Regions from separate parts of the Mus musculus genome. Here all the other regions are reported to be linked to region 2. Evidence: microRNA targets listed by miRTarBase, many of them from high-throughput screens and not tested one by one. Region 2 holds a microRNA gene; each other region holds the end of a gene's coding sequence.

Region 1 (4,123 bases), not on the chromosome of region 2:
CCTTGCATTCCCTTGAGCATCTCTCATGTGTCTGGGGTTTTTAATACTAAAGGACAAGTGGGGCTTGTCTCACACTGATGGCAGGAGTCAGCGAGGGCCCATGTCGGTCCTGTTCCCTGTCCGTTAAAGGGCCACCACACGCACTGCACAACACACAGACAGGGCCGCCATGAGAACCCAAAGGGCAAAGCGAGCAGGTCTACATGGTGTTATAGCTACTACATATTTGGAATGTACAGAAACCTCTCCATAAACATTTCTTAAAGACACAATTTTCTGCAGGTACAGGTCCCAGAATGACAGCTGCCTACATCTGAAACATGGTAAGATCAACTCTCTCGGCCCCTGCTGCTGACTTAGCTCTTAACGAGGCGCTTGCTTGCGGATCTCCTCGCTCTCACCAGTTCCGCTCAGCATGGTTCCCAAAAAGAGGAAAAGGCCACCCAAGTCAGTCTAGTGCGGATGACCCAGTCGCTCGTGGGTTTTTACCCCAGCTGTGTGTTTCCGACGCAGTGTGCCTTCACGTCTATTATGCCTTTATTTTATATATATACATATTGCTATTTCTCTGTTCTCTTGCCCTCAATATTATTTTCGCAGCTATTTCTTACTGACCAGTGGAAAAAAATCAACCTTTAAAAAATGTATATATAGGAAGCAGCCTGACATCCCCCACCTGCAGTGGGGATGAGTCTGAGGGTCACCTTTGAACCCGTCTCTGTCCTGGTACATGGTAAAGACTCGGTTGAGATGATGTGTGGGCAGTGTGTTTGTAAGGAGGGAGATTTGTGGGTTTATCATTTTCTTTCTATTTTAAAATATCTTCTACTGAGTGTTTTCCTTTATGGGTAATCATTGCTAGACCTTACCAAAGGACCTGTAAGTCAAACCTGATTTGTTCATTTTTATGCTAAGTCTTTAATGTTGATCCACATGACCCAGGAAACTGGCTTCCTAGGTAAATTCTGGGTCTTAAGTTTGAATTGACAGGGTGTATCCATTCTCGACCACAGTTGCCAATGTATCTGCTGTGTTCTTTCTCTAGAACCCTGTGCAGAGTCACCCAGCCCTGCAGGGCTTCCTTTGGGTCCTCTTTACCTCTTGCCTTCCTCGACCGCCAGCCCCTAGTCCCTTACTGCATTGCTATTATTGTAGCTGTTAGGAATGTGTTATGGCCACAGATTTTACTTCTACAGTTTATCCATTTTGCTCTCGGAGGGATTTTTCCGAAACACCAATGAATGATGTCTCTTCTCTACTCAAGGCCAGCCAGTTCTTACTGCCTGAAGGGTACAGTCGCATCTCCTAGGTGAGATCTGCCACTGCCCTATCGTGTGTCTGTGCCTCGGGTCAGTTGTTCAAGGTTTCTTCTCACTTCCAAACTGACCCATGTGAGCTCTGTCCAGATAAAATTAGCAGTTGCACAAATAGATGGAGAGCACCACCTACGATGGTCCCTGTGCTTGGAAGGCCTGCTCTCTCTACTTACGAACACACCAACCTGGGCAGCATCCCTTAGAATGGCCTGCAGTACGGATGGATGCTCTGGGCCAAGCCAGGGAACCCCATCCCAGCTTGAGAATTTACTTAGGGTCCTGAACTTTCAAATGATGTTTCCCTATGGAAATCTCCCAGGGTACTGGCACCAAGTAGATTTAAATTTCCAGTCGACTACCTGGGCCCTCTAGTCAGCTTCTTAGTCTGGTCTCCTCATCTGGAATGCATAACTTGTCTTTAGCCAATAGGAACTCAGAAAGGCCCCTCCCTCCTCCCAGAACCCTGCTGCTTACTCTCTTGAGAAACTTTCTTTTCTTTTTCTTTTTCTTTTTCTTTTTCTTTCTTTTTTTTTTTTTTTTTTTTTTTTTTTTTTTGAGAAACTTTCTTGATCTTCATTCTGACTTACCAGGTTTCCAAATCCCCAGCTGGTACCACAGTTGCTCTATCCAAACCTAACCTCACTGATTTAGCCTAAGGCTCGATGGCTTCTTCCATGGACCACCTCTTGACATCAGTGGCATCACACCCAAACGTAACACAGTCACAGATGATGGCTACCTAACTGAGTGGCTACTAATAACGGTCTTCTGAGCCAGCCACCTAGGTTTGTTCTTTAGTTCACAGGGGATGATTCGGTTATAATCCCAGCCCCAGGATACATCTGGCTTCATAGATGAACAACCTAGAAAGAAGCTTGCATATACACACCTTGTATTGTTTCTGTTCGTTTCTTGGTTTCATCTCTTTAAGACAGGGTCTCATGTAGCACAGGCAGACCTCCAACTCACTTATGTAGCCAAGGTTGACCTTGAACTTTGATCCTCCTGCCTCCACCATCTGAGTGCTGGGATTACCGGCATGTACCACCACCCGTGGTTTGCTGGCACTGGAGACCACGCCTGTTTTATAAATGTGATCTTTTCATTGCTGATCGCTTAGGAATAGTTTACCCCACCTTTGCATGTCCAGCCATGACGGAGAAGGCCCTCGGAAGTACAGTGTGCCCAGGGCCAGCTCTCAGTCATGGACTAAATGCAGCTTTTGCTTCAACAGTTTTAGAGCTACCTATTTCGTGTGAAATGCACTGCAGTACTTAAGAGTTGGAACTTGATTTAATACCTTTCATGATTATATATGTAATCATGATTTCATATGTATGTATGTATATATTATATACTTGATATATTTGATATAAAAGCTGAGTTTGATACAAAATGTTTGATGTAAAATCTGCTTATTTTTTTGTCTTAAAATGCACTTCAGCTGCCTGTTTCTTTAATAAGTCACAGAAATCTTTGAGATTCTCGCCACTAATTTTTTTTTCCTGAAGGTTAAGGAGTCTTCTTTGAATATACTACAACAAAACAAAACCTTCCCCTGTCCCCCAATTCTCCTTGAGCCCCCAGCTGCTGCCCCCCATTGCCCTAGAGCCCCCAGCTGCTGCTCCCCCCATTGTTCTTGAGCCCCTGGCTGCTGTCCCCCATTGTCCTTGAGCCCCCAGTCGCTGTCCCCCATTGTCCTCGAGCCCCCAGCTGTTGCCCCCCCCATTGTCCTCGAGTCCCCAGCTGCTGGGTGAAGCCTGGCTTGCTGCACTTACTGCTTAAAGCCACTAGTATCGTGCCCCCCCCCCCCCTCTCTCTCTCTCTCTCTCTCTCTCTCTCTCTCTCTCTCTCTCTCTCTCTCTCTCGTTTCCTGGATGGGCCACATGGTCTTTGAAGTCACCACTCACACACCACCACCACCACCACCACAGTCTTGTGCAGAGAAAACCTGGGAGTTACGAGATATGTGCAGAGCATAGAGGAACCCAGGCGGCCATCCAGAAAGAGTCCAGTGAATTAGTGATGACAGAATGCTTGCTTTCCACACCTCTCTTCTTCCTTTGCTGTAAGAACTCCTGCACCGGGGCTTGCCAGCCACTAGTGCTTATTAAGACCTGGAGATGCTGCATCGAATGGGACAGAGAGGGACCCCACTGTCATGTGCTACCTGTGCCACTGGAGGGTGTTTGACAAAGGAGTCTTGCCAAGAAATCTAATGCTGCAATAAAAATAAAAGATTCTTGGCAGCCAGCAGTAGTATGCACGCCTTTAATACCAGCACTTGGGAGGCAGAGGCAGGTCAGCCTGGACTACAGAGTGAGTTTCAGAACAGCCAGGGCTACACAGAGAAACCCTGACTCTAACCCGCCCCACCCCCACCCCCCAAAAAAAGGTTCTTGGCCCTCAAGACCTCAAGAAAGTACTCTGCCATGGAGGAGGGCCCTGTGACAGTCATCTGTAGTCCCTTCTGGAAGAGCTGCAGCAGAGAGCCCCAGGACTGGTCTACCCAGGTCTCACAGTCTCTGGTCTTGGGTCTGCATGGGGTGAGAGAGTAGGGAGAGAAACCGGGGCCTCTAATTAATTCATCTAACTTCTGATCTGCACCGCCTCGTGGTGCTGCCACAGGGACCCTTTTGTCTCCCTTCCCTAACGTGCCACCGCCCAGACTGCTTCTGTGTGACAGTCAATTGCCTGTGTGGTTCTTCACTTCCTGTGCAGATCCCCTCCGAGGCCTCTTCCCCTCCCCAGAGTGGTTTTCTGGCGCCCACAAGTACTCAGAACTACTACTGATTACGTGGGTTTGG
Region 2 (4,123 bases):
GACCAGTAAAGAGGGTTCTATGAAAGGCACTTGGGTGTCCACTGTTCTCAGACGGGGGTGGGTGGGTGGGTGGGGAATCCAAGGCACGGGGCAGCAAAAACCCTGTCCCTACCCCCAGAGCAGAACTGGGGCGAAAAGGCCCAATTTGGCAACAGAGAAACATGGCAGCGTGGATAAGACAGAAGTGGGGAGCAGCAGGCAGGGCCCCCCAGGTCCCCTGAGAAGAGGGGAAGAAGTTTGAAGGCACTGACACAGGGGCCCAAGGGCTCACTGTCCTCCATGCAACATGGCAGGGGAGACACCTCTTCCCCAGGGCCGTGACCATGACACAGCCGGGGGTGTTAACAGCAAAGGCAGGCGCCCACAGTCTGCTGGGGAGAGGCTTGGGCCTTGATGAGAGGCAGGTCCTGGCCCCAGGACACCTCACTAGCTCCCGGGCCTAGGCTGTCTGAGCACTGAGTATACGTCGTCCACGCGGCTGAGTTGCTCAAAGAAGGGTAAGAGATCGTGTAGCTCAGTGTCACTCATGTTGTCAAACCACGAGGCCACTGGTACCTGGAGAGACGACATGAGGAGCGCCGGTGTCCCGGGGTGTCCCCTGTCCAGCCCAATTCCTGCCCACAAGGCACATACTTGTTTGGTTTTTGTTTTGTTTCTGGCAGCTGACAGTGAAATTCATTTGTAGATACCAGTGTGCAAAATGTCCACAAATATACTTAAGCTTACTGTTTCGTTCAGCAGGATCCTAACTGGGACTCACTACCTTCATTCCATCCCATTACAGGCCGTGACTGGCAGCTTTGAAGACTGTCAGATGGGGACCCCAGCCAGAGGTGAGGACCCTCCATACATAGGCCGAGTGGGATATGTGAGCAGATACAGGTAATAGGACATTACCAGTCCCCACTACCGCCACACACAGGGCTGGGGAGGTCCCTCCACATATGCCCTGGTCCCGTGTCTCAGCCACTGGGTCCCGTGTACTCACGGCATTGTCTGGATGGAAGACATAGGAGGCGGGTGAGTTGTCTAGAATGAGCACTCGCCGCAGGTCTCGGCCCAGCCTGCTCAGGTCCTTTACGTAGTTCCCCCGGTGGAAGACACACGACTCTCGAAACAGCCTGGCACGGAAGGCTCCCCACTTGTCCAGCAGATCAGCTACAGGGTCTGCGTACTAGGGTAGGCGGTTAAGTCACCTCAGAATGAGTAATGTCCAGGGCTGCATGTTCAACGTGGGAGGGAGGATATGGGTGACCCAGACCCCAGGCAATGGCTCACCTTGGCAAGGCTGGCAGTGAACAGCACACATTCAAAGAGCTCGCCCATTCGCTGTAGGAACTCATCTACGTGGGGCCGCTTCAGCACATAGACCTGGGGAACGAGCCAGTGAGGGAGCTGCTGGCCAACAGGCTTAGGGGTGATCCACAAAAGGGGGACAGGAACAGTGGAGGAGGAAGGGCAGTCTAGAGAGGCTGCCCCAACCATACCCCATTCCTAAAGAGATAAGAATAGGATTCCCGTGGTCCCACCTCACCTAGTGGGAGCCACTCCCCTTCCCACACTGGTTTTATCCAAATGCAGGAGTCCAGGTTAGCCCTCTCACCCCAAGGCTGCAGGGCACCGGCCCCCGAGCCAAGTAATGGAGAACAGGCTGGTCAGCACCACAACCTATCCTGAATTACTTGAACTGGGTCCCGGGCAGTAGGGGTAAGAGGGGAAAGAGGGCTGCACAAGACAGGACCAGAAGGAGCCCAGTGTGCAGGTCTGGGAGTCTGGCTCCATCTCTGGAGTACCAGGTAGTCTTGGGTTCTCACTCTTTCTGAGCTTTGGACACGCCCCATCTATTAAAGTTCCATGGGGGACTCGCTCAAGAAGGGTGGGAGGAACCTGGGTGTAGTGCAGACACCAAGCTCCCCACCTCCCTCTGACCCTCACCTGGTGGACCACTCCATCTATCTCCACCGGGATGATGAAGTCCGCATTGTTCACTGGCTGTAAGGAAAGAATAATGGCTGGAGCTGGCGGGGAGGGAATCCCAAGGGTGGAAATCCAGCAGAGACCTCCCCCTGTCAAGAGACTAGAGGCTGAGAGGTGCCAGGCAGGGCCCACCTTGAAGGAGCTGTGCACCAGGGTCTCGTCCAGGTCGATGACGACGCAGATCTTGTCTGAGTCCTGGGCCTTGGCCTCGGGAAGCAGGTACTGGACTGGGGTGTGCTGTGGGGAGGGCTGGGCTGGAAGGGCACCTCTTACAGGGGCTTCCCTCCCCAAATTTCTCTATCTGAGGACCCGACCAGACCTTCTACCCCCTCCCCAGCTTGGAGTCTTGCAAACTGTGAGCCAGGGGTAAGATATATGGATCCTTTTTCCTCACCTCATAAAGTTCCCACCAGCAAGGAAGGCATAACTGTGGGTTGGGAGGCTGCAGTGGGGCTGGAAAGGGGGGGGGGGACCTAGCAGGCAAGCGCCCTCCCTCTGCACATTTTAGGATCTGCACGTGTATCAGTGAAGTTCGGGCCTATACCCCTATCTGTATCTGCCAAGTCTACTTCCGGCTAGGTCTCGGTGCATCCAAATTGCCACAAACCTTAGGGATGGCGCCATTTTCCTCCACCAGCAGGGGAGCCCCACTGTGGGCAGGTAGGGGCTCCCCATCATCCCGGCAGACACAGCAGAAGAGGGAGTGGAGGATGCCCCGACTCCGGGGCTTCTGGGAAACTGCTGACTTCTGGTCACCTGAAGCAAGACGTGAATGTGGGCACACTGGCCTGCAGGGGCTGCATGCACTCCAGTCTCAAATCCCTGAGCACAGAGAATGTGAGCATTCTCCCTCCATCAGGAGACACATGGGGGTGGCTCTGGCTGGCTGTCCTCCAGAGAACCCCGCTTCCATGAGCCCCACCACGGGCCACTTCAGGGCCCCTGCAGCTCAGCGTCTTAAGGAAATCTGGTGTGGCTTTTTAGGAAGGCAGCCACTTTAAGAAGTAGATGGCTTAAGGAGGGGACCGATTTTTCTCACGGTTGGTTCTCAATCATCTGACCCCACAGGTGGACGTTACCTGAGCATCCCCTGCTCTGGACCTTCAGGGCTCAGGGCCCTGTCGTCCACTCCCACTCTCCCTCCATTCTGTCTACCCAGTGAGTCCAAAGTCCCCATTGAGCCTGGGCCCAGAGGCCAGTGTCCCAGGGCTGTCAGCCCCACCGGCCCCACCTCCTTCACCCCGCCCCGTCTCTTTGCAGCGGCCTGTCTAAATTGACAGACCTACCCCCACCAAGCCTCTTCTCTAATCCTTTCTGCCTCCAGGCCACCCCCCCCCCAACCCCCAAAGAGCGAGGAACTGGACAGTGGACAAACCCGGAGTGACTTCCCAATCTTGAAATTCACACAGGGGAGGGAGGGGTGAGCCCCACTCTTGCGAGCCTTAGGGGCTCCGCATAGGCGGGCAGCACCCCTTACAGGGTGGGTGCAAGCGTGCACAGGCCCGAGGCCAACCGGCCTAGCCTGTTGCAGCCTGGGTGTCGCGTGCCCAGCTGGATACAAGGCCCCCAAGTCTGTCTTGCAAGGCTAGGGGCTCTCTGCCTTCGAAGGTGTCGTCTGCACCTCCACGCGTGACGCCCGAGTTTGTGGGAACCTGGCTGTGAGTTAGTTGGCGGGAGATCCCTGCAAGCCTCCCCAGCCCGCTGTCACCTCGGCACCCCTTCCAGACCTCAGCCTGGAGGGGGCGGAGCCTCAGCGGGTGGCCGGGTGGCCGCCTCACCCCCACCTTCTCGTCCCATTGGCGCCAAACTGGGGGAGGGGGTGACGCCCGGGAGCCCGCCAGCCCCTCGCTCGCCTTCTGCCTCAGTTTCCCCACTACGAGAAGCCTCGAGCGCACTGGTGGCGCCAGGCCCCGCCCAGCGCCTCAGACTCTCGCGGAGTTCAAACTCTCTCGGCCGCACTGGCCGGGGCTCGGGCCGGGCCAGGCCGAGGCGCGCGCCCGGGACAGCGGCAGCGACCGCAGCGCGGGGACGGCCCCTAGTCCGGTTCTGCCCTCCCGCCGCCCGCCTACCTTTGCCCCGCAGCGGGCCCCGCGCCTCCTCCTTGCTGATCTGAGTAATGACGGCCGAGCTGTCCATGGGGCCCGGC
Region 3 (4,123 bases), not on the chromosome of region 2:
GGTAATTTTACCTCATTTCATAGCATAGTATTAACCGAGGCATACAGTTGATCTACAGCTGTGTGGTACACTCAGGTTAAGTTTGGTTTTGTTATCAAGAAGACTCTAAAAGGCACCAAGTTGAGTGAAGTATTAACTTAGAGACTAGCGTTACAGATGAAGAACATGTGTTGAGTATTTCTGTGCCCCTTTATGTTCAGTTTGTTGGGATCACATACTCGGCATTTTCTTCCCACTAGGAGGCCGCTCACGATACCGGACTACTTCTTCAGCCAACAATCCCAATCTGATGTATCAGGACGAGTGTGACCGGAGGCTTCGAGGGGTCAAGGATGGTGGCCGGAGAGATTCTACAAGCTACAGGGATCGTAGTGAAACCGATAGAGCCAGTTATGCTAATGGCAGTGGCTATGGAAGCCCAAATTCTGCCTTTGGGGCACAAGCAGGCCAATACACCTATGCTCAAGGCACCTATGGGGCAGCTGCCTATGGCACCAGTGGCTACACGGCGCAGGAGTATGCTGCTGGCACTTACGGGGCGAGCAGCACTGCCTCAGCAGGGAGGAGCTCTCAGAGCTCCAGCCAGCAGTTTAGTGGGATAGGCCGATCTGGGCAGCAGCCACAGCCACTGATGTCACAGCAGTTTGCACAGCCTCCAGGAGCTACCAATATGATAGGCTACATGGGGCAGACTGCTTACCAGTACCCTCCCCCTCCCCCTCCCCCTCCTCCATCTCGCAAATGAAACTGCATGGCAGGAGTGACTCGTGCAGATGAATTACACATCTAAAGGAACACTGTCTTTTACCCTTCTAGACCTTTTCATTTTTATTTTTTCTTTTCTCAACCATTACGGTTTATCTTTTTTTAATGCAGATAGTTAAAATTTCACTGCCAGGTTTCTTCTGCCCACCCAAAAGATCCAGTCTATAATTACAGATTTTGTAAGAAAAAATATATATACACATAACTGACTGGAAAGAATTAATTTCTTTCCCCCAGCTTAATGCATGTTGAGGATATTGAGCTATTTTTCATCTTAAAGGTATTAGGCACTTTTGTTGGAGCCTGTTTATCCATGGGAGGGTGGGTAGGGAAGGAGGGACTGCTCTGCAGGAAGTGGTATCTGTTCTTTAGACTGCTCTCCTTAGGGAGGAGCCAAGAGGGATTTCCATGCACACTGCCCATGGTGGGTTTAAGTTACTGAAGTTCGATTACTCAGGCCTGATGAATTTTTAAGACTGCTTTGTTGGTCATTTGGCTGATGGCTTCTTATGTGCATTCAACAGTTAAAAATTCCTAATCGATTCTGTCATCATGCCCCCTCCCCACTTGTTCCTGCAGTTATTAAATATTAACCAGGTTAGTGTTGAGTTAGAAATTACATTTCTGAGTTCAAGCGTTGTCTTTTTAAGTTTAAAAAACTATAAAGGGTTGTTTTTACTAGGTAGACTGGCATCTGGGTAGAGGCTGCCTGGGATTTTTATCCCCACATAACCAGGGGCCATCTGAAAGTCATTTTCTAGCCAGATCAGCCACTGAGCGGTAAGCATCAGCGCTCAGCAGAGCCTTCCGAGCAGCATTTAGAAAGCACCTTTGGGAATGATGGACTGCAAGGGAGTGGGCGGATCTTCCTCTTAAACAGTATTCTTAGAGTAGGATTGACCTCATGGGCTGCTCTGCCCACTTGGTCAGGCTCTCCTGAGCAGGACTGCTAAAGAGCTTGCCTCCTCAAAGCCTGGTCTCTGAGGTGCTTTCTAACAGCTGGAGGCACTTGTTCTGGGCTTTCCTTTGCCCTCAGTTTTTCACAGGTAGGTAGTAGCCATGGAGGGCTGAAGCCCAGGCTCTCCTTACTCTCTGGAGTGTGAAGGTAGGGGTGAGCTCGTCTCACCCCTTTATTAAATGCTCCTGGAACTTGGAAGAGCAGCAGATGAAGTTGGAAAGAAAATTCTGCTCTTATCACCTAAACAGGACAGGAGAGCAGATGCCCCAGCGCCTCTAGTAGATGGTAGTGGTGGGGCTAGTGTGTGGCTGTTACCTGGGCCGCTCAAATTCATTCCAGGGAGGAGGCTCCACTGCATTCTTTGGCTGTGCCCTGAGGGTGCCTGCTCCTTTGTACGGTAACAGTCAATTTTGAGGTTTCTTTCAGGAAGAGAAAGGGATGGTTTTGAGGGGCTCAGAAAATAGGATTCAGTGTGTAACATAACAGGTAGGTTGTCAGCATGCTTGGCATTCTTCTGTTTTCCTTACCGTTTTACAGACTATGAAGCTGAGGGGGGATGGTAGGCACAGATGTGTGGCAACCCTGCTCTGTGCTCTGAAACCAAAGTGTGTCCTGTCTTGTCTGTCTCTCACCCTGCCAAAAGCAAGTGTCTAATCACTGATGCTGACCAGCCTGTTACAGATACTTTCTACAACCAAATTCAGATTTATTTTTTATTAAGCATTATACCATGGGCTGTCCTGTGCTCCTGTCACTCTTCAAAAACACCCCTTCTATTACTGCCTCCGGGGATGAAGCAGTAGCTAGGTTGCTTAACCTCCCCTCTCCAGCAGAGGCATAATCCAGATAAGTAGCAGATGTCATATTTCATAAGCTCTTTTGGCCTGGGTACAGCAGAAAACTAGCAGTTTTCCTACTTGGCGCAAGTGACTTGTGCCTCCTTGTCTGTCCTTTGTCAGCACAGGTGCAGGCAAACCCTTCCAGCTGGGTTAATTGCCGTTTATGGTTTACTCACTTAGGGAAAGGGCTTAGGTGTTAGGCTGTGGGCTGCTTCTCCCTAACCATCCATTGTGCAGACTTCTCATCTAAAAAGGTTGGTGGCTTTTGCTTGGGATCAGTGCTCTGCTAACGCCCTTGCTGGTCTCTCCACACATTCCTGTCATTGAGACTTGAATTGTAGGTGTGATGTTATGCACAGGATGCTCAGAGCTATGTTACTACTATTCTTAGTTTGTAAATTGTCCTTTTGATACCATCTTGTTTTCTTTTGTAGGTATAAATAAATACTTGACAATAAAGGTGTGAATTTTTTATTACATTAAAACTTAAAAAGAGTTTAAGTGTACTCTTAATGTTTTCCTCCAAGCAGTGAAAACATTAAGCAGGGTGAGTGTATTAGGCATTCTATTTAGCACCTCAGGCTGGGAGGGGAAGGCTACATTGGTGGTTCTTAGCACAGAATGGATTTACACAGTGGCCATGGTGTCCATCTCAGCTAACAAGTGAGCTAAGCAGTCCTAAGCACTTGGCAGAGCTGGTTATTTGGACTGCTTACAGCTTGCAGGCCAGGTGGACATGTGGCTCGAGTTCAGCACGCTGACCTAGGGAGGTTCTCTGAATGGATCTTCCCAGCCCTGGGCATGAGTTGTATAGTCCTAAGGAAGCAAGGAGTTGAGCCACTCACGGAGGTATCTACTGCTTCTCTTCACTTGGCACTTGTAGGGCACCATCCTTGGGCAGATGGGCTAGGTATCCCATTCTATCCATGGTGGATTAGGGAGGTGCTGCCGTTTATCCCAAGATGGTGCTTTGCTCAAATTCACACCAGTCACTCTAACATGAAGTCCCAAGTCTTGGCTTGAAGTCATGAAGCAGTGATCCGGATGGTTTGCTTTAGCTGCCATAGGGGTGGCCCTTCTCTTCAAACTGGCACCGGGAGGCTTAATTTCTTTCCTTTAAGGACTAAGGAAAAAAAGATAAAATTTTACTATGTGTTGTACTTAAAGAAGAATTCCTGCCCCCCTCCCTCCACTTTAGCTGGCCTTGAACTGGAGATCGCCTGCCTTTGCCTCCCTTGTTACTTGTTGCGGGTCACCCGTGGGGTTTATGCTGTTTCCCCCCACTTTGGTTACTGGTGTTCTTACATCATTTTAGATGAGTATGTCTACTCCATTCCCATAGCCTGTGTCTATCCATCCCAACCCTGTTTTTAAACTGCCCTGATTAGTCTCTGCATGGTGGCTGCTGGGCATGGTGACACAATAACAAACCCCATAACCTAGATCCCTGGGGTTCTGTGTGAACTTAGTTTCCTTGCGTTTCAAGGTCTACTACTGCTAACAGCTGCTTCGGGGCTTTTGGAGATTGAGGTTTTCCCAACCAAGTTTGTCAGAAGTCCTC

The links. Region 2 holds the annotated microRNA mmu-miR-26b-5p (UUCAAGUAAUUCAGGAUAGGU, at 1,667-1,687, opposite strand). A microRNA usually pairs through its seed, bases 2 to 8, with sites in the 3' UTR of a target mRNA and lowers its output. Matches are read on the target gene's strand: a 7mer-m8 pairs with bases 2 to 8, a 7mer-A1 pairs with bases 2 to 7 and ends in A, and an 8mer does both.
Region 1: the mRNA of Lef1 is a reported target of mmu-miR-26b-5p. The part of its 3' UTR that is shown has no 7-base or 8-base seed match.
Region 3: the mRNA of Ddx17 is a reported target of mmu-miR-26b-5p. Seed matches in the 3' UTR shown: 7mer-A1 at 2,891-2,897 and 7mer-m8 at 3,008-3,014.

Annotation. Positions count from the first base shown.
Region 1 is chr3:131,204,651-131,208,773 of GRCm38, forward strand. Lef1 (lymphoid enhancer binding factor 1) reads left to right here. Exons shown (of 12, transcript NM_010703.4): 11 at 283-323. The coding sequence ends at 317. Among named protein-coding and RNA genes, the nearest start is that of Hadh, 65 kb to the right of the region's middle.
Region 2 is chr1:74,391,888-74,396,010 of GRCm38, reverse strand. It overlaps Mir26b (microRNA 26b), which reads right to left and starts at 1,701; the gene lies at 1,617-1,701. Ctdsp1 (CTD (carboxy-terminal domain, RNA polymerase II, polypeptide A) small phosphatase 1) reads right to left here. Exons shown (of 7, transcript NM_153088.2): 1 at 4,047-4,123; 2 at 2,585-2,733; 3 at 2,110-2,214; 4 at 1,936-1,992; 5 at 1,279-1,371; 6 at 989-1,174; 7 at 1-555. The coding sequence starts at 4,113. The coding sequence ends at 427.
Region 3 is chr15:79,526,634-79,530,756 of GRCm38, reverse strand. Ddx17 (DEAD box helicase 17) reads left to right here. Exons shown (of 13, transcript NM_001040187.1): 13 at 240-3,061. The coding sequence ends at 745. It overlaps Kdelr3 (KDEL (Lys-Asp-Glu-Leu) endoplasmic reticulum protein retention receptor 3), which reads right to left. Exons shown (of 5, transcript NM_134090.2): 5 at 3,018-3,685. The coding sequence ends at 3,645. Among named protein-coding and RNA genes, the nearest start is that of Kdelr3, 12 kb to the right of the region's middle.